Linked DNA regions of Caenorhabditis elegans. The protein of the gene in region 2 purifies or fractionates together with the protein of the main gene of each other region. This does not show direct contact. Each region holds a gene or a part of one and is shown on either strand. Other genes may lie near its edges.

Evidence for each region.
Region 1: the proteins of cyn-7 (region 2) and ubc-12 fractionate together in Caenorhabditis elegans (co-fractionation; one large-scale study listed by BioGRID). This does not show direct contact.
Region 3: the proteins of cyn-7 (region 2) and Y47G6A.22 fractionate together in Caenorhabditis elegans (co-fractionation; one large-scale study listed by BioGRID). This does not show direct contact.
Region 4: the proteins of cyn-7 (region 2) and ilys-5 fractionate together in Caenorhabditis elegans (co-fractionation; one large-scale study listed by BioGRID). This does not show direct contact.

What each region holds. Positions count from the first base shown.
Region 1 is NC_003279.8:11,909,038-11,912,776, forward strand, and holds ubc-12 (NEDD8-conjugating enzyme ubc-12), read left to right. Parts: upstream 1-2,282; 5' UTR 2,283-2,289; coding exon 2,290-2,383; intron 2,384-2,429; coding exon 2,430-2,878; 3' UTR 2,879-3,016; downstream 3,017-3,739. Other genes in the region: exo-3 (exodeoxyribonuclease III), read right to left, coding at 1-169; rbm-3.1 (RRM domain-containing protein), read right to left, coding at 413-560, 616-694, 913-937; rbm-3.2 (RRM domain-containing protein), read right to left, coding at 1,384-1,540, 1,626-1,704, 1,898-1,919; mag-1 (Protein mago nashi homolog), read right to left, coding at 3,110-3,508, 3,580-3,639. UniProt on the Caenorhabditis elegans protein: Accepts the ubiquitin-like protein NEDD8 from the uba-3-ula-1 E1 complex and catalyzes its covalent attachment to other proteins. Plays a role in male tail tip morphogenesis.
Region 2 is NC_003283.11:15,185,769-15,189,443, forward strand, and holds cyn-7 (Peptidyl-prolyl cis-trans isomerase 7), read right to left. Parts: upstream 1,611-3,675; 5' UTR 1,593-1,610; coding exon 1,524-1,592; intron 1,476-1,523; coding exon 1,224-1,475; intron 1,110-1,223; coding exon 915-1,109; 3' UTR 814-914; downstream 1-813. Other genes in the region: Y75B12B.3 (Transposase), read right to left, coding at 158-205, 256-492; bath-36 (BTB and MATH domain-containing protein 36), read left to right, coding at 2,706-2,812, 2,873-3,444, 3,494-3,675. UniProt on the Caenorhabditis elegans protein: PPIases accelerate the folding of proteins. It catalyzes the cis-trans isomerization of proline imidic peptide bonds in oligopeptides.
Region 3 is NC_003279.8:3,559,185-3,565,290, forward strand, and holds Y47G6A.22 (DeHydrogenases, Short chain), read right to left. Parts: upstream 3,668-6,106; 5' UTR 3,661-3,667; coding exon 3,639-3,660; intron 3,587-3,638; coding exon 3,354-3,586; intron 2,401-3,353; coding exon 2,221-2,400; intron 2,170-2,220; coding exon 2,063-2,169; intron 1,086-2,062; coding exon 1,022-1,085; intron 969-1,021; coding exon 810-968; 3' UTR 750-809; downstream 1-749. Other genes in the region: Y47G6A.21 (DeHydrogenases, Short chain), read right to left, coding at 448-612; Y47G6A.33 (C6 domain-containing protein), read left to right, coding at 4,904-4,955, 5,485-5,771; lpd-3 (Bridge-like lipid transfer protein family member 1 C-terminal domain-containing protein), read right to left, coding at 6,059-6,106.
Region 4 is NC_003284.9:6,532,784-6,539,045, forward strand, and holds ilys-5 (lysozyme), read right to left. Parts: upstream 4,058-6,262; 5' UTR 3,995-4,057; coding exon 3,961-3,994; intron 3,329-3,960; coding exon 3,216-3,328; exon of another isoform or gene 2,474-3,215; coding exon 2,357-2,473; intron 1,619-2,356; coding exon 1,562-1,618; intron 865-1,561; coding exon 766-864; 3' UTR 707-765; downstream 1-706.

The DNA.
Region 1 (3,739 bases), on a different chromosome or scaffold from region 2:
GCACTTCCTTAAAATCACTTTTCTTCACACAAGCTCTGAGCCCTGCCACGTTCCAGCACACAAACTTCCAGCTTTTCTGATTATTGTCCTCTTCTGCCGGCTTCACCTTCTTTGTGAAGATCGAGGCGAGCTTTGGTGCTGGTGCTTCTTCTGCTTTTCGCTTCGACATTTTCAGCAACAGGTTAGTAGTCGAGTAGGCTCTTGAACGGAGCAGCTGGGGAAGAAGAAAGTTGAATCAGGTCGGCGGATGGAAGGATGACAAATAGAGAAACTTCCCCGAATGTTGAACAGATTAGTTAGAGAATAGTTGAAATTGAATTAAATAATTAAATCGATAGTTTCATTGGATTGTTATTAATAATGAGATCAGTGAAGAGCAAAAAAGTAACAAAAACCCGATATGAAGATCAACTTATTTGTTGGCGAGGTTGACGCGGAGTGGTCTTCCATTGAACTCGGCTCCATTCATCTGCTCGACGGCTCTCTGTGCGGATCCTTCCTCGGCGAACTCGATGAAGGCGAATCCACGTGGACGTCCGGTTTCGCGATCACAGACGATTCTGAAAGAGATATTGCGTTAGAAATCATGAAGCTCGGGCTGGCTGGGAGAGTTACCTGACGTTGTTGATTTGTCCGATGCTGCTGAAGAAGTTTCCAAGCTCCTCCTCGGTGGTCTGGAATGGAGCGTTTCCAACTAAAAAAAAGGAAAATTTTAATTGATTTAAATATTTCGCAACCAAATTTGAATCTAAACACTTAAAATTGCCTTTTCAAATGAAAATATTAGGGAAAACTTCGCGAATTCGATTTTTCCGAAAAATCCCAAAATTTCAGGACAATATCGAGTTTTATTGGCTATTTTAACCAGTTTCCGATTGTTTAATACTTAAAATAAATTATTAAAAAACTAACCGTAAACAGAGAAGATTCCAGACATGACGATTTTAGGCCGTAGCAGAAAATTTATGACGGTTTAATTTTTCCGCTCACCCTGCCTTGGAGAAAACGTGCGGCAGTTGCGTAAAAACCGTGCCAGGGTTGCGTTTTGGCCCCGCCCCTCGAATAGCATCGATTTCGACAGATTTTTTCCATTTCAAGCTGAAAATATGAGGAATTAGTCCAAAATAAGACCGCGAAGAGTGTTGAAACTTGAATTTTCAGTTGTAAGCTCACATTGGGCTGCGCATAGCCCAGGATTCAAAACTTGCTCGAACCGAAGCCGTTCCTTCAAGCTTCTAGCCTCAACGCTTGCCATCAGATTGACCCCAAATGAAGATTCGAAATAAAAAAATAGAGCATATATATTTATGATAACGATTTCATGGGTTTATTATTATTGAGATCATTAAAGATCAAACAAGTAACAAAGTACCGATATGAAAATTAGTTGTTTCTGTTTTGAGCCAAGTTGACGCGTAGAGCTCTTCCGTTGAAATCGACTCCGTTGAATTGGTCGACGGCTCTCTGGGCAGCGGCCTCCTCGGTGAACTCGACGAAGGCGAATCCACGTGGACGTCCGGTCTCGCGGTCGCAAACGATTCTGAAAATAGAGATTCATATTGAGAGTTAACGGGTCGTCGTTCAGGAGGTTTCGGGAAGAGGAGATTTCGGGGAGAGAAGCTTACCTGACGTTGCTGACGTTTCCAGCCTGGCTGAAGTAGTTGCCAAGGTCGTCCTCGGTAGTTTGGAATGGAGCGTTTCCGACTGAAAAATGCATTAAAATTATTAAAAACTCAAATTATCTCAGCCTAATCAAATACAATAAATAGAAAAACGCCTGGAGAAAAATAAAAATTTTAGGCCAGACTTTAAATTCGGCTTTTCTCGATTAAAATCTGCTTTTAAAGCTGAATATTCCAGTTTTCTACTTGAATAATTTACAATTAACAAAACTAACCGTAAACAGAGAATCCAGACATGACGATTTTAGGCCGGAGCGTAAATATGTGTGATTCGAATCGTTTTCGCTTGCCTCCTCCGACTCGTGGGAAACCGTGCGGCACTTGCGGTAAAAGTGTGCCAGCCTTGCGTTCGCGCTCCGCCCCCTTTAGTCATTTCAGCGTTAGCAAACGCTGCGTCTTTTATTCCTCATTCTCTGTCATTTTTCATAGCAATTGTTTCATTTTCTCACGTAATTTGTCGTTTTTTCGCTGAATTACAAGATTTTCATCGATTTTTGACCCTTTTACACTGTAATTTTGCCAAAAAAACGATTATTTTCTCTATGTTTCCGTATGCGCCGCCTATATCGCTGAAAATTATCGTATTTCTTAATTTTTCGCTTTCAGAATGTTCAATCTTCAAAAACGAATCAACGGCAACAACGAGGACGGTCGGTATCTTGAAACCCGCATCGCCGTCCGTGACAAGCTCCTAGCTCAGGGTATGTGGCTGCTTTATAAAAAATTTTGATTTTACAACATTTTCAGAACTCCAACAGCTGGAGACTGCTCTTCGCGATCAGAAGCAAAAGCTGTGGCATCTCGAGGTCCCATCAACATCGTGTCTTCATGAGTTGGAACTCACCGTGACACCTCAAGAAGGAATCTATCGTGGAGGCAAATTCCGATTCAAGATCACCGTCCCGCCAGAGTACAACAACGTGCCGCCCGTTGTTAAGTGCCTGACAAAGGTTTGGCATCCAAATATCAACGAGGACGGATCGATTTGTCTATCGATTTTGCGTCAAAACTCGTTGGATCAATACGGATGGCGTCCAACGCGTAACCTCACCGACGTCGTCCACGGACTCGTCTCACTGTTCAACGATCTTATGGACTTCAACGACGCGCTGAACATTCAAGCCGCCCAGATGTGGAGTCAGAATCGCGAATCGTTCAATCATCGTGTTCGGGAATACATTTCTAGATATTGCTAAGGACCAACGGATCGGATTACAAATGGCCTGTGAATTGACCCCCCCTATGAAATTGATTTTGATTCTAACTTTTCCCCCACCTCTCAGACTTTTTCTAACTGTACTTTTTGAAAGAAATAAAATTTATTCTTGAGAAATTTGAGAACTTAAGAAGAGAAGAGAAAATCGAATAAATTAAACAAGTTAAAGAGATTTGGTGGATAAAATAGAACAGAGTCTGAAGGAATTAAATTAGATTGGCTTGATCTTGAAGTGAAGGCCAATGAGCGAGAAGACGAGGCACTTGAGATCCTGAACGAGATAGTAGAACGAGCGGAGACCATCCGGATCTTTCGAGTTGTTCACATCGGCTAGAGCTCCGATTTTGCCGGTCGTAAACGAGATGTGCTCGTTTTTGTACAGAATTTCCAGCTCCTGGCGTCCAATCTTGTCTGGTTCTGGCCAATTGTCATCGTCCTCCTGCATGATTTCCGAGTCTTCGATGATACGCTTGAGCTCGCTGAGCACCGATTCCGACACTGTCGCCTCTTTGCGGATCATCGTGTCATTCTTGTAGTTGGAGTTGTTCGCGTAGCGAAGCGATCCGTTTGGACGGAATTCGAATTCGAGAAATTCGTGACCGAATTTTCCCTGAAAATTGTTTCGTAAACTAATTTAAATTGGCGAAAATTGTCATTTTTCCAAGATTTTCCAAGACCTACCTTGTGTCCAACGTAGTAACGAACGTAAAAGTCCGCTGCCTTCTCTTCTTCGCCGCTCATTCTGAAAATAAATAGGAATTGAGAAAATCCAAACATCCATTAAATAAAACCGGGTGAAAATTAGAATTTCAAGGTAAAAAAACCTGATTTTTCAGTGAAA
Region 2 (3,675 bases):
AGAGCTCCGACGAGGACTAAAATCATTCTTGTGTACAACCCAAACCTACTAACCCGCACATTATTTTCTGAAATAGCTTGCCACAATTGTAAATAAATATTAGCGCCTGTAATACTCTTGTAACTGGAAGAAAGTTCATTTAAGAAAATATCAAAAATTAGAACAACTTCTTGAATGGATTTCCTTGTTGCCCGCCGAGTTTGCTCTGAAAATGGAGAGACTACTGGAGCTTTATTAAAAAGGTATTCAACTAACCAAGTTCTCAATCTTCGCCTGAAGCTCGACGATTTTCTTCTGCAAGTTGTCCAAATCACCACGAGACTCCTTCAATTTCTCCAAATTCTCCGACTTTTGCTCATCCGAAACTTCCGGATTGTTGACCTGCTGCTCATACAACTGTTTGGCCGATTCATAACCAGACTTGCTCGATTCATAGATCTTCTTAATGTTCTCCAATCGAAGTTTTTCATTATTAAGAATCTCGGGAAACATTTCTAGGAATCTGACAAGTGAGAATAACCAAAAGAATGTGAAGAGCTGGCAACAATGCCTACATTTTATGCTCGAAATCTGAATATTTGCACAATTTACAGCTTTTCCTCTAACAATTCCATTTTATGTGTTTACTCTTCACGAGTCAACAGAGTTCGAACGGTTGTCTGAAATTCAGGATAGAATGCGCAGAGATTGGAACAAAATGACGGAAATCGACGCTTTCAATCGCTTCTACAATGTTACAGTTCTCTCCAAGCTGTTGAGAACAATTCACGAAGGCTTCCTCGAGTACGACCCATGTAACTGAACAACTATATTCTTTTCGAGCAATTTATTGATGATCAAGATGAAAAAGTGAAGCAATAAACAGGGTTGGATGGGGTGATTGAAAAGAAGAAAAGTTCTCACGGAGAACAAATTTAGAGCTGTCCGCAGTCGGCGATGAGGCACTCGGACTTTGGAGTTCCGGAGCTGCTTCCGTTGCCCTCGACCTTGCTGACGATGTCCAATCCTTCGACGACACGTCCGAAAACGACGTGCTTTCCGTCGAGCCAGGCAGTCTTGACGGTGCAGAGGAAGAATTGAGATCCGTTGGTGTTTGGTCCAGCGTTAGCCTGAAGAAAAACAATGAAACTTATCAGCCAGTGGATAACAGTTAAGAAACTAGATAATGCTTCTTTTCTATCAGTTTATGCTGTCTTTCAATCTGGCTAGGCAACATAACTTACCATGGAAAGGACTCCTGGTCCGGTGTGCTTCTCCTTGAAGTTCTCGTCTGGGAACTTCTCTCCGTAGATGGATTCTCCTCCAGTTCCGTTCCCGCGGGTGAAGTCTCCTCCCTGGATCATGAATTCTGGGATGATACGATGGAACTTGGATCCCTTGAAGTGGAGTGGCTTTCCGGACTTTCCGACTCCCTTCTCACCAGTGCAAAGAGCACGGAAGTTCTCAGCGGTTTTTGGAACAATATCGTTGTAGAGCTGAAAATAAGATTTAATTTCATGAAAAAAGATCAGTGTTTTGTTTACCTCCATAACGATACGTCCGGTTGGTTTTCCGGCGATGGTGATGTCGAAGAAGACTCTTGGGCGGCTCATTTTCAGGTAGGGTAATCACTAAAATGCTTGAGTTATAGTTGAGAAATATGTATGAGATAGGTATATCTACAGAGGTGCGGCAAACACGCTCTGCGGTAATAGAGCGGGAATCAATCAAAGTTAAAAATATAAACAAAGCACCATAAGATACAAGGAAGAAGCACACGGATGAGCTATATACTGAAATGGAGTGAATTAGCGCACTAAAACAGAAAATTTTAGGCCCAACTAAATTAATTTTCCTGTTGGGCCTAAAATCTGCCGAAAGACGTGATTCAACAAGGATTAAACGACAGTTGCACATCAAAAAAGTTCTTAAATAATTTTCAATTGATTTTAATTCATTTTAATAAGCGAAACTATAAAAATTCTGACAAAATCAACAAATTAGGCGACGAAAGAGAGAAGAAATGAGCCGTTCGCTTCTAGAATTTTCCGACGTAAACAACAAAGTCCGCAAAAGTGTCTGCGTACCCGACACCCAATCATACGACATGCGCCATATCTGACGACACTTTCGCTGTGTTTCCCGCCTTTTGTCAACACTTTCACCGTGCGCCTGTGTTTTCAAATGATCGTACACAAAACAACAGAACGGCGCCGAAATTGATAACAATTTTTGTAGGCAATAAAAGATTACATTGAAAAACCGGTCATTGATATCAGTTCGATCATCACCACGGTCTTCACGAAAAGAAGGAGAAATATCGAGATGATTTAACATTGAGAAACATTGAGAACATTTTAAATTGCTAAATAGATCACAAATTAATCCAACAGTTTTTCATTTTGTTGAATGCTTTCGAGATCGATTGAGCTAAATATGAAGCTCTGCATGTGACGGGTATCTGCGAAGCGGTTCGTCAAGATTAGCTTTGCTTATCCGCTAAAAAATAATCTTTTCGTACAAGGACAAAATAAAATCTGCACAAAATACATCGTGATGTGCTAAAAATGGTTAATGTGAAAGTCCTAGAAATAGACCAATAAACTTTATAAATTTTGACTGGTCTCGAAGCCATTTAGTGTACTGTAGGTGAGAGCATTGCTCAGCTTAAATTGTTTGTTTCAAATTCTTCTTCATTGTTCAAATTAAATTTATCACAAGATAAAATGTCTGGAAAAGACAATAAAGGATCAATTCGTTTTGAGATTCAAAATTTTTCTGGCTTGGCGAAGGCGACGGAGCACAAACCAGTGCAAATTGGACACGTAGAATGGTTAGTGAATTTTAATGAAACAAAAAATGTTCTAAATTATTTAAAATATTATCTTTTAAGGATTCTTGGAGCATTCACAAGCACTTCCGACGCTACGAACAATGCTAAACATCTCGGAATTCACCTGAAATGCAACGAGGAACTGCGCAGCAACTTGTGGTCCTGCGATGCGTCAATTCGTTTTTCACTTCTGAGACTCAATTCAAACGAGGATGATGACGCGTTTTCGATGGAGTTTCAGCAAAAGTTCGACGACTTGAACAAGATTGTGGTGGTCAACAATTTTAAAAATTGGGAGGAAGCCATCTGCTACGATAATCGATTTGTGCTCGATAAGCATGCCGTTCTTGAAGTCCAAATTACTGTCAACAAGATTGCCGGAATTCATGAGAGGATTATCGAGACTTTCGATCAACCCAAGGAACATCTTACCGATGTTGTGCTGGTGCTTGAAGGAAAACATGTCCATGTTGGCAAGCAAGTGCTCGCAACGAGCTCGCAATTCTTCCAAAAAATGTTCTATTCGAATTTCGCCGAAAAGACACAGGCTGAGATCAAAATCGATGATGTGACCCACTCTGAGTTTATCGATTTGCTCAATGTGATCTACCCCACTCACATGCTCATTAATAGTAAGTTCTTTTTTTTATTTGAGGCTTGGAATTATTAACGGATTTTCAGGTTCCAACGTGTCTCACTTGCTCAAGCTGAGCGATAGATTCGCGGTGCCAAGAGTTCTGGAAAAGGCTGAAACGTTTTTGATTTTGGACCAAAAGACCCACTTGATCGACAAGCTGAAGTTCGCCGAAGTCTACAGACTCTCAAGGCTTCAAAATGCATGCCTTTCGCAATTGGAGACCAGC
Region 3 (6,106 bases), on a different chromosome or scaffold from region 2:
TTTTTAGTATACTTCTTGATATTCGATGAGTTTTAATATTTTTTTTTGTATGTGTCAAGACCATGGCGGCGGTTTTTTTTAATTAAAAAAATAATTTTTTTTGTTTTTTCGACAAAAAAACGGTGTTTCCAAAAATTACAAACGAGGAAAAAAAATCGAAATTTTTTTGTGATAACTGCTATCATGAGAACACAAAATTCTGAGAATGCGTAATGCACAACATAATTGACGCGCAAAATATCAAAACTACAGTAATTCTTTAAATGACTACTGTAGCGCTTGTGTTGATTTACGACACCAGAGTTACAGTAGTAATTTGAAGGATTACTGTAGTTTTCGCTACGAGATATTTTGCGCGTCAAATATGTTGCGCAATACGCAATCTCAGAATTCTGTGTTCCCGTAATACTGTACTTTCCGTCACAGTTCCTAAAATATAAAACTCACATCATCAGCCGAAATTGCACCCTCTGAAATACATAGTGCTGCGACTTCCTTCAAAGAATCCGTATTTCTTCCGGTCAGCGAGAGTTGGTACTTTTTTTTCGCGAACAGAAGAGCCGTGCCTTTTCCGATTCCCGAACTTGCTCCGGTGATGATGGCGACTGGCATTTTCGGATACTCTGAATAAATTCAAAACTGAATCAAAAAAAAATCGATTTTTTTTCAAAAAAAAAAAAAATTAAGCAAGGAAAAAACCACTATAAAGGATTCAATAAAAACACAATTAAAAAAAATACATGTATCTCTCTATTTATTACATGATAAAAGTTCAAAACAATCTCAATATGAGACAAAAAAGCTAATATTTATCTCGGATGCATGATTCCGCGGCCTCCGTCAACACGAAGAAGTTCTCCAGTAGTGAATGAACTTTTCTCAGAGGCGAGGAAATAGATTGCCTCAGCAACTTCATTGGCATCACCGGGACGGCCGAGTGCGTGTGTCGTTTTACTACGTTCCAAGAACTGAAAGAAATGATGATATTTATTTGTCAAGGTCAGTGCAGCAGGTTTTATACCGCAGAATATGTTGTCTCGTCTTGACCAGATGTACGATGCAGGTTGGTCACGGTGACCCCTGGGCTGAAATTTTTGGAGAAATGACAAATTTATATGGGTTTATTAAGGGAACACAATATTTTGAGAATGCGTATTGCGCATCATATGTGACGCGCAAAATATCAAAACTACAGTAATTCTTTAAATGACTACTGTTGCACTTGTGCCGATTTACGGGTTTTTTTATTTATCAAAAGATTATTGAAAATGAGAAAATAATACGAAGAAACGAAGAAAATAAATTAATTTCCAAAATCGAGCCCGTAAATCGACACAAGCAGTACAGTAGTCAGTTAAAGGATTACTGTAGTTTTGATATTTTGCGCGTCAAATATGTTGCGTAAGACGAATTCCCAAAATTTTGTGTTCCCGTAATACGTGTGTTGTTAGCGTTTCATTCGACAAAAAATGAGAAAGTTAGCGATTTTTGCACCAAAATACGGTAACCGGTCTCGAAGCGATCTTTTTTTTTTCAATTCAAAAGTGCGTGCGCCTTTAAAGGAGTACTGTAGTGTACTGTAGTTACTTACTCCTAGTTTTTGCGAGATTTTTAAAGCAATTTTCCATAGTTTAGCTCCTGTCTTTTAAAAAATTCGTTTTTATTCAAAAAATATAAAAATGCATCAAAATTTGAACAAAAACAAGAAAACCTATGAAAATTCGGCAAAAAGTTAGAATTTTCAGGAAATTTTCCTAGTTTTTTTTTGTGATTTCGTTCTTACTCATATTTTCCGATAATTTTTCGATTTTTCGAAAAAAAAAAAGCCAAAAATATTTTCGATTTCAAAAATAAATATTTTTCCGATTTTTCGCAAAATATCTTGAAATTTTGACAATTTTTCTTCTTTTTGGAAGAAATGTATATGTTTTCTTATTTTTCGAATATTTCTTTAAAAAACCTAAAAACCGAAAAAATCGTAATTACAGTACTCCTTAAAGAGAATCGATCGCTTCGAGACCTGGCACCGTAGTTTTTTGGCAAAAATCGCGAGAAAACTCACCAAACAGCATTAACACGAACTCCATTCGGAGCCATTTCGAGAGCCAAACATTTTGTGAATTGATCTACGGCCGACTTGGACATACAGTAATAGGTTACATTTGGGAACTGAAAATTGCGAATTTGAAAATTATTTTCAACAAAAAAATAACATCATACAGGGCACGGTCCATTAATACTGCTGACATTGACAACAGTTCCTTTTGTTGTAATAATATGTGGAAGAGCTGCACGTGTCAGGCGGATCAAACTACGAACATTCACATTCATTAGCTCATCGTAGACTTCAATTCCAGAATCGAGAACTGGTCCGGCACGCAGAATCCCGGCCGAATTGATCTGAAATTTAGAATATTTTAAGGGTTTAATAATTCAAGAATCGGTTGGAGAGTTTTTTTAAATGTTTTCGTTATCCCCATATTTTCTTTTTACAGGTTGGTGCAATTTTTCTCGAAAATAAAAATGAGAAAACTCTTTAGGCAGAAATTTGGAAAATTCGAAAAAAAAAGTATCTAAAAAAGCGCGCAAACTTTTTTCTCAAAAAATTTTAAAAAATAAAAATTCTAAGATCTCTGAATCTTAATGTGAAATGCGACAAAAATAATTTTAATTTTAAAAAAAATAATTAAATTTGGGTGCAAAACTGAGCTACAGTACTCGCATATACTACAGAATTTTTTCAAATTTTCCTTCGATTTTTATATATAAATTTTAATTTTTCAAACAGTTTTTTATCGAAAAGTATAAAATTCGATGAAAATTCCGCAGAAACAAAAGAAAATACAGTACTCTTTAAAGGCGCGCACCTTTTTACAAGTTGCAAAAATTAGTCGTGGTGAGACCAGATACCGTATTTGTAACGCAATAGTAGTCGCAAAACTTCACATTTGGATAATTTTCTGTGCATTTTTTTACAAAATTCGCAATTATTACGTTTTCAAAAAGAATTTTGAACTAAAATTTTTTATAACGGGAACACAAAATCCTGAAAATGCGTAATGCAACACATTTGACGCGCATAATATCTCGTAGCGAAGACTACCGTAATTCTTTAAATGACTACTGTAGCGATTGTGTCGATTTACGGGCTTTATTATCTTGATTATGAGAATCAAGCCCGTAAATCGACACAAGAGCTACAGTAGTCATTAAAAGAATTACTGTAGTTTTCGCTGCGAGATATTTTGCGCGTCAAATATGTTGTGCAGTACGAATTCTCAGAATTTTATTTATTTTTATGTTCCCGTAATAGTTCTAAATTTTATTATAACTTTCCAAAAATAACCCCCCACCAATGTGTCAATTCGTCCAAACTTTTGCACAGTCGCATCCACAATAGTCTTCGGAGCTTCTTCTGAAGCCAACTCAACAGCGGTCACCAGTACATCATTCTTATCACTTCCAGCACTGACAATTTGCCCGGCGAGCTCATTGAGAGCCGCCACATTCCGTCCGGTAAGTGAGAGCTTGTAGTTGTTCCGGGCGAGAAGAAGAGCCGCCGCACGTCCAATACCAGAACTTGCACCTGGAAAAGAGGGGAGAGGAATGGAATTTCAAGTATTTAGAGTCATTATTACCTGTGACAATTGCGACGGGCATGGTTGACCTGCAAAATCAAAATTAAAATTAAAATTGAAAATTGAAAATTGAAAAAAAAATCTTTGAAACAAATAATAAACGGCATCCTAAAAAAACGAGACCCAGAGAAAAATACAAATTTTGTTTTCTCCGCTCCTGATAACACATCACACATCAGGAGTTCAACTTTTCCAAATTTTTTTGCGCGTAAACTGTGGTGCATTAGGTACATGACTCAATGCATCACATTTGACGCGCAAACTTTTTTATTTCAAAATCCATGTCAAACTGTGGGTTACTGTAGTTGATATTTGAAAAAATTGCTATTTTTGTGCCAAAGCTACGGTGCCTGGTCTCGTCGCGATAAATGTATGTTAAATGTAAAAAGATGTGCGCCTTCAAAGAGTACTGTGTCAATGAAAATTCCAAAACGAGAAATTACAGTGCTCTTTAAAGGAGCACACCTTTTCGTATTTAACAAATATTTGTCGTGTCGAGATATGGAGAAAAAAATCGTAAAATTTTGATGCAGAAAAATGCGATTTTTGAAATCGAGGTGCAAGCGCGCTCCACGGTCAAATGGAAAAGCTCCGCCCCCAAACGTTGGGTCTCGTTAGGTATTACCGCTTTTTTGCCGATTTCACCTGTTCTCAAGCATTTTTTCGTGTTTTTTCAAGATTTTTATATCGAAATTATGTTTTTAAAATTGCATTTAAAAGGGAAAACCGTTATTTAATTTGATTTTCCTTAATTTCGACACATAAAACTAGTAAAATCGGCAAAAAACCATAAAAATTCCCGGTTGTCTCGCCAATACCTGACGAGACCCAACGTTTGGGGGCGGATCCTTTTCAGTTGTCCGTGTCAGTCTGGAAACCTATATTGGCTACTATCTCGAAAACCATCACAAAATCGATTTTGCGATGCATATAAGAAATGACCGCAATGAATATACCTATCTTTATTTGTGATGAATTTTCGATTTTGTGCTTCCTGCCCAAGTTATGCACGTTTGTTCGGTGGAGTGCGTTTGCACCCATCTAGCAACTGAACCACCGTGAAAAGCGCATTTTTCTACGTCTCAATAATATTTCCCTTTGTTCAGTCTTTTTTTCCCGTTTCAATTCAAAAACTAATCAATCATGATGAAGGAAGTTTTGTGTGTGGGGCGGGGTGAGCGTTCGTCGCCGAAAAAAAAACAGCAGTAACGATATTTAAGGCTGAGAATTAGGGTTTGAGTACTGATAGATAGGTCAGCGGCGAAATGTTCAAGATCATTGTTCTACTGGCTACGATTCTGATCGTCACTGTCTATGGTGGGTTTTTTGAGATTATTGATTTTTCAACAAAAAAAAATTCGAATAATGTTTAATCACCCAATTCATTAAAAAAAAGAAGTGTAATGGGATTAATGAAAAAATAGGATTTTTTATAAATAGTTTTTAAAATTTGACGAATTTTTCTGCTTTTCGCCAGATTATTTGAAAAGTGAATTTTCGTAAGGGGAGTCAGAATGTCCTATTTGGGTTTTGATCTTCAAAAAATGCGGGAGAAGAGACGCAGACTTCTCATCTTATTTCGCCTGGTTAAGAGCCTACTGACGTCACAATTTTTCCGGAAAAATATTCCCGCATTTTTTGTTTATCAAACCGCAATGAGACAGCCTGACACCACGTGTTTTCAAAAATATCAATTTTGTACAGGGAATTTGTTTATTTCCCCAAAAATTAAATTTTTTTTCGAATTTGCGCGTCAAACATGGTGCACTGTCGTAGTTCACTGACCCAATGCATCAAATTTTACGCGCAAATGCGGCCCTAAATGAATAATTTGAATAATTTCCAGGTGGCTGCCCCGGCATTTCCAGCATCTACCTCCCCCGCCGAGTCAATTGTCCCCTCTGCGATTTCGCTCCATTTTCTCAAGCTGTAACCGGCTCCGGCAATCAATATTCGATAAAATGCCCCGCTGGCTCTGATGTTTGGTACTACAATGAACAGGGACGTGAATTCGTGACCCCAATGAGTAAAGTTGGATCAAAAGGAAGCATCAAGTGTGATGGATCGAAATGGAAGATCAGTGTGCCCGGACAAAGTCAGACACTTTCTGCGTTTGCGTGTGGATCCTCGTAATAAGATATAAATAATCCAAAAATTGTTAGGAAACTTATCAAATGAAACTAATAAATACTAGTACAAATGAATTATTATTCACAGAAAAAAATAAATAAAAATAGACAAATCACAGAAGCTCATTGGAAATTATTTGGTACATTTAAATATTTGTGGAAGCAGAAATTGGAGGAAAAAAATAAATAATTAAAAAAAACCGTAAATCAGGCAATAGAAAATATTAAGAAGCTGCTGGCCAATAATTGTTGACTAGAAAATTAGAAAATACATGAGAAAAAAAAAATCAATTAATTGTGTTTCGGTCTAAACGAGGCGTCGGAAATATCTGTAATAAT
Region 4 (6,262 bases), on a different chromosome or scaffold from region 2:
CACGAATGATCAGTTTTCTTCTTTCTGCTCTGTTTTGAAAAGTTTGCTGGTAATCTGAAAATGATATTTTTCCCAACTTCTGTCTTGAGCTCAACTTGAGAACGAAAAAGACCAACTTTGTTTTTAAGCCTGAAATAGAAATGTGGAAACACCGAGATAAAGTTGCTACCTACACCCGTTATGATCCTCACAGAAATCTTGTGATCTTTAATTTTCCGGTTGCGTAGGTTTTAAAATCAAGTTTTCAAAACATCTCAGGTCTGCGAACAACAGTTCCTATCACTTCATAATGTACTTTGTTGACAATTCGAGATTATCATTTAATATCATTCGAGCTGTTCGTTCCGCAACCTTTTCGTGCAAATCCATCTCACGATTATTTTAATCCGAAAGTATCGTAAACATCATGCATCATCGAGCAGACAAATTGAAAGCCTTGTTTATTCTCACCAGAGGCAAAAAGAATATAAAACTAGATCATAAAACGGGTCAACTTATTTTAAGATACAACCTATGACATAGATGGTGGTCTACTTAGACCTTTACAAATTTAGAAAACGATATGCTTGTTCTCATAAATTGTTCACTCTGACATCATTTTAAACCCACTGACCTCTTCGCCTACTCAATTATTTTTCAAAACGTTCGCATTTTTTCGCAACCTATGTTTTGAAAAGCTTATAAACAAGTTTGATATCCTTTCTACTTTGATTTTAAATAAGCTTTATTGATTCATATATATTCTTATTTTGATAAAATTGAAAATTAAGAGCATCCACAGCAGCTTTTAACTCCGTTCCAGTAAGCCAAGGTGTTGGCGTTGTGGCATCCACGTGGTCCTCCGTTGTGGTTACGGGACATGATCTGAAATTGAATGGATTGCCATTTGCTTGATTGAAATCTAAGGTCTTTTGTCCTAACTTGAACAAAACAACATACTTCTGAAAATGCTACGTAGTTTTCTGATTGTTAGTCCCACTATTATCAATTGTCAAATACACATGTCCACTCAATGAAATGATGTTAAAAAACTGCTCAAGTGTGACCAAAATGATTAAAAGATAAAGAATCGAGAAAAAATTGTAGTGTTTCTGTCGTCAGAATTTTCCAAAAATTGTCAGGAAGTATATGTACATTTTTTGGTGGAATACTACTTGGATGCTCTAGACATTTCTACGTCAGACCTGTTCAGGTCTGCAATAATTTCTCTATTCCAGAGGGTCGTTTCACCTACCTAGTGACTATGGCATATTAATGTTTTCCCCTGCTACCCAAAATAGAAATGTTCGACATTTAATTTTCAACCTCTTATAGTTAGTTGCGTAGTAGCATTCTTGCTCTAAATAAAAAACTCTGACCCCTTTTTCGCGGAAATTTTTGTATCTTTCCTAAAACTTCGCATCACTTTATGAAATATTTTGTTTCCTTCTGATCAATTCAAAAATCAAAATCGGGGGGCAACCTCCTCCAAACTACCAGACACTCGAAAACTTTAAATTGTATTTCATCTACACAATTTGAAAGTGCCCAGAGCAAAACAACAACTGCGTAGGCGACTCACCTGGCAAGCTCCCATTCCAAGTCCATTGCACTGAGACTTGTAGCGGTTGTAGTAGTTCTGAAATTATTTCAAAATGCTTGTATAACATGTAGATTTTAAAATTTTAGATTTCCTCTTTTGTATATGTGATTTTTGACGTATTCAATAAATTTTGTGAAGAGTGCAAACATTCATTCCGTATTAGAGTTCTTTAACCTCTTTTCAAGCCGTCATAATCTTTCTTTGCTACTTTTTATGGCGTGGTAAGCACGTTGTTAGCGGGGTGTTGATAACAATAAGTACTTATTGTCTTTGATGTCGTTAACGTCGCCACCGCTATAGCCATACATAGAAGCTAACAATGACGTTTTTTGCTGGGCTCGTTTGCTATGTGTGCATTTTTGTTTACAGGTTAATTCTGTGATTTTTGACATTATCTCGCAACTTATTTTGAGCTAGTTCCTTTTTTTCTAGTTCCGCCGTTGAAATTGCAGAAAAGTTACTCATCGCAGTATTGTCTACATGACGTTTAAATTAATTTGCCTCAATTAGCGGCAGATAGTAGAAATTTGAGTTCTCAGGTGGGCGATCCACGTAATTCGTACACTAAATTTAGTCGCGAAGTTTTTAATTTTGAGAATGATATGACGAGATTCCCAAAGGATAGAATTGCTTCCATGACTGAAATAAGCCGCAGTCTATCCGGAATTTTGCGATTTAAGGATGAAAAGTTGCACCCACTCAACACCCGTTTTCCCAAAATAAGAATTTTGATGATTTTTTTTGCATGTATCCTGTTGCTAAATCTGCACGTACCTCGACGCAAGTGGTAGCGCAGTTAAGATCATCAGCACATCTCTTCCAGGCAGCTTCAGTAGTCTCTCCAGCCTTCTTTGTTGGTTGTCCGCAGTCTTCATAGTATCCAATCTTGATCTAAAAGAAACATATTATATTTTTATTCTTTACTTTTTATAGTTGGGTCTTGGTACATTTAAAATTAAAAAAAACTGGAATACATAGAGTAGAGTTCAATTTTTGTATATCCTTGTTGTTGTTCCATACAATTTCCTTGTCTACATGGTTTTGAAAGTTTTCATTTCTAGTATGCCTTTTATCTTCTTAGCTTCAATGCAAAAGTTCCCCTATACAAAAATCAATCCCGTTTTAACATTTTCAAAGCATTTCCTGTCCATTTCCTCGGGAAAGTACGCATTTGCTCTTTTGTGGTTTTTTTGTTTTAGCAATTTAAAACATCGTTTCTTGTTATACATTTTTATCGAAAAAACTCAAAATTAAAATTCAACGCGATTTATTTTACCATACTGATTAGGAACTTCCGATTCGCTTGAGAAGAGATATGTGAAAAATATGGGGGCTGTGGTCCGATGAACCGTTTCAATTATGCTAGATTTTCATTAAAGAAATATCTGTTCAATGAGGCATAACAAACATTTCGTGCCGATTTCAAAAACCATCAATTAATGAAGACATGAAAGATGAGCTTTTGAATTTCACGTATTTTTCTGAAGTGTTATTGTTTCCTTATTTAAATGGCAAAACAATAAACAGGCAACCGAACATCTTGTATGGTTTCATGACAAAATTGAAAACGTGTTCTGATATTCTGCTATTTCCATTTCTAGATTCACATATTCCCTAGTTGATCTTGATTTACCTGATAGTATCCGCAGGAGAGGGATCCAACGTCCATGTGGCAACCGATTGGTTTGCATCCTGACTCTCTCATGCAGATGCAGTGGAGGCAGTCGGCGGAAACGTACGCAATAGCTGAAATACCGTAATCACGAAATAGTTCTATTCGCTGTCTCTGCCTTTTTTTAAAGTTTCAATTTATTTTTATTTTTCTCCTATTTCTTCGATCTATAATTGTTGTTACTTTTCCCTATTGTTTTTTACAAATGTGAAACACATATTTAGCTTTCAAAACGTGCTATTAGCTGTAAACCTATAATCAGATGTCCCGTGAGCCGAGAAATGATTTGAGCTAATATTAAGCGAACTTTCATCCGATAAAATTTTATAAACAAGCAAACAACAACAAGAGTTAACACTAAATATGGGAGTAGTTGAGTCTAGATTAATCTTTGGTTAGCCGATATTAAACTTTAAATGACGTTTCATTCTTTGTTTTTAAAAGAAGATATTACCAGCCTTATGGAAATTAAAAATTTCTCTAGTTTTGTTTTAATTGATTGAACGCATCAGTGTTCAGACTTATCGAAACATTTTCAACTGATAACTAAAAAAAAAAGAAAATGTAAACATTGAAATTAAATTAGCACCTTAAAAATCCAATTTCATGTTGGTTTTGATCTAATTCTTTTGAGCTGGTGATTTACTAGATCTTATACAATTTTGCTGTTCACTGAAACCAGTTTTAATTTTGTTATCACACTCACCGACAGAAAGGAGCAGAAGCGATTTGACAAACATATCGGCTGATGGACAAGCTGTCTGAGTTTGCTAACTTTTGGACTCTCTTTTATATCAACTTACACGTGCCTTTGATCACAATTCCTTATCTCAAAACCCGGTAATTCCTACGTAAGCACCTGTACCGAAGACTGTCAGAGGCGGAGTTACAGCTCTGTGATCGCAGAGCGAAAGAGCAATTGATGCCACTTTCAATGCCAATCAAAGTGTGGCATGGATAGTTCTAGAAAAACGTATATCCTTCCCCAGAAAACCAACACAATGCAACAAATCAGAAATCTTGTGATTATTGAAATGGACTGCAATTTTCCGTGAAAGGATACACCTCTGTTGCTAATCTTATAATCCAATCTTCGGGTCAAAAAGAACGCGGCTTCCTAATATACTTTTGATTGGTGGGGGTGGACGAGGAAATACTCTGAAATAGGATCAAGATTATATTTATTTGTGTCTTTGACCATTTTTTTTGTTATTCAAATTTCAATGAGGTAATATTTAGATTTTCGTATTTATGTGATGATGTTTTTTTCTTATAAAGTTCCATTAAAAATAATATTGAGCTAATTTTTGAACCGACGTTTTTCAGTTCCCCAGATACATCTCGAACCAGCATTCTTTTCACAAAACAAGCGTGTTTTTCTCTTTTAACACAAAGATTATTTGTAAAAACCCTAACTACGATCAGGTAGTAGGTAAATTTTTCTAATGAGTAAGCTTTAGTTTCCGGCTCAACAACTTTGTGCAAGGGTTAAGTCATGTGAAACTGAAAAAAAACTCATTCAAGCTTGATTATTTTCACTAAAATGTTAAAAGGACAATTCAAGTACAAGTAGAATAATCTAAACAAAAACCAAAACAGTAAACAATCAAACATCGAACAATTCAATTTTTATTCATTTTATAATAATGTTTTTGAATACGGACGGTTTTTGTAAATTCAATTGACCGTGAATTCCGTAACGACGGGAGCTTTAGGAAATTTCATTCAATACAAGTATATCACTCACTAATGAGTGAATAGACAGTAAATCCAAGCAGTTACGACGTTCACGCGGATTTACCTTAGTTTACACACTGAATCCTCGTTCCGCATTGCTCTCTTCAGTAGTGCAGTCTGTTTTGTCATAATTCATTCATTATGTGTGACGACGTCATTTGAGAGCCTGAATTGGAATAATCGTGACTAAAAACGCAACAAAACCACTTGGTTGTCGCATCAATTATCCAGTCTAGAACTTTGCCACAAGTTTTTACTTTTCGATCTTCATTGTTACATTTTAGACGCTTTTATGGAGAATTGTTTTCTTTTGTCATGCTCTTCCAGCAAACCAAACTAGGTGCGTATTTCCTTGTCTACAGTTTGTGCTATCAAATAATGAAACACAAACCGTTTTTGTTATAATATGATCTGTAAATAGTGCGATCGGCATGGTTTCGCCTCGTTAAGACTTTTCGGAAACGAATGAACATTATCAGTTGATATCAAAAATTGCTCCGATTCCATCGCAATTTGGTTTTGCTTCATAGACATGGGTGTGCTGGGAGATTGGAAGAAGCGGCAGAGAAAATTGAAATTCAAGACCAATTTCCTTCGTGCAAACCATTCTGATAAGTATGTACCAAGTAGTTTCTAAAAACTCTTCTTTAGTTCCGTAAAAATCATAAAATGTGTGGTAACATGTGACTTTATACATAGACTGTTACATTGGTTATAGTAGGAATGTTCTGAATTGGTCGGACGCTTCACACACTTAAATGAAAATTATCTTGTTTGATTATTCAACACAATAACAAAAAGATAACAAGGGAATGATAATATTTTTATCTAATAAAAACAAACTTACTCCCAGAAGCGCATGTTTTTATATAAAGACAGGAAGGAATCGAAAGCTGAAGACTCAGTTGAGAACAAACTCTATTTAGTATTCTAAGTGAAGCTTGGACTAGTAGAAAATGTTTCACATACCGGACCAGGAAATTGTACTTGAACAGCAGATGTTCGAAATTGTGTTCTTAGAACTCGCATTTTAAGTTCGGAAATTGTGAACAGAGATTCCACGTTCTCTGTTAATTATTATTTTCATCGAAAAAAGGCCTTTCTTATAATCAACGAAAGTCTCGAATCTTTGGTGTCATTCGAAAACAAACTATTACCGCCGGCGAGCTTTTGAGCTGCTCTAACTTCCACTGAGCTAGTTCCTCCTTCTTAGCCACGTGTTTGAATTTGAACGTTTCCATCTTTTCAACGTCCCACTTTTCAATTTGTTG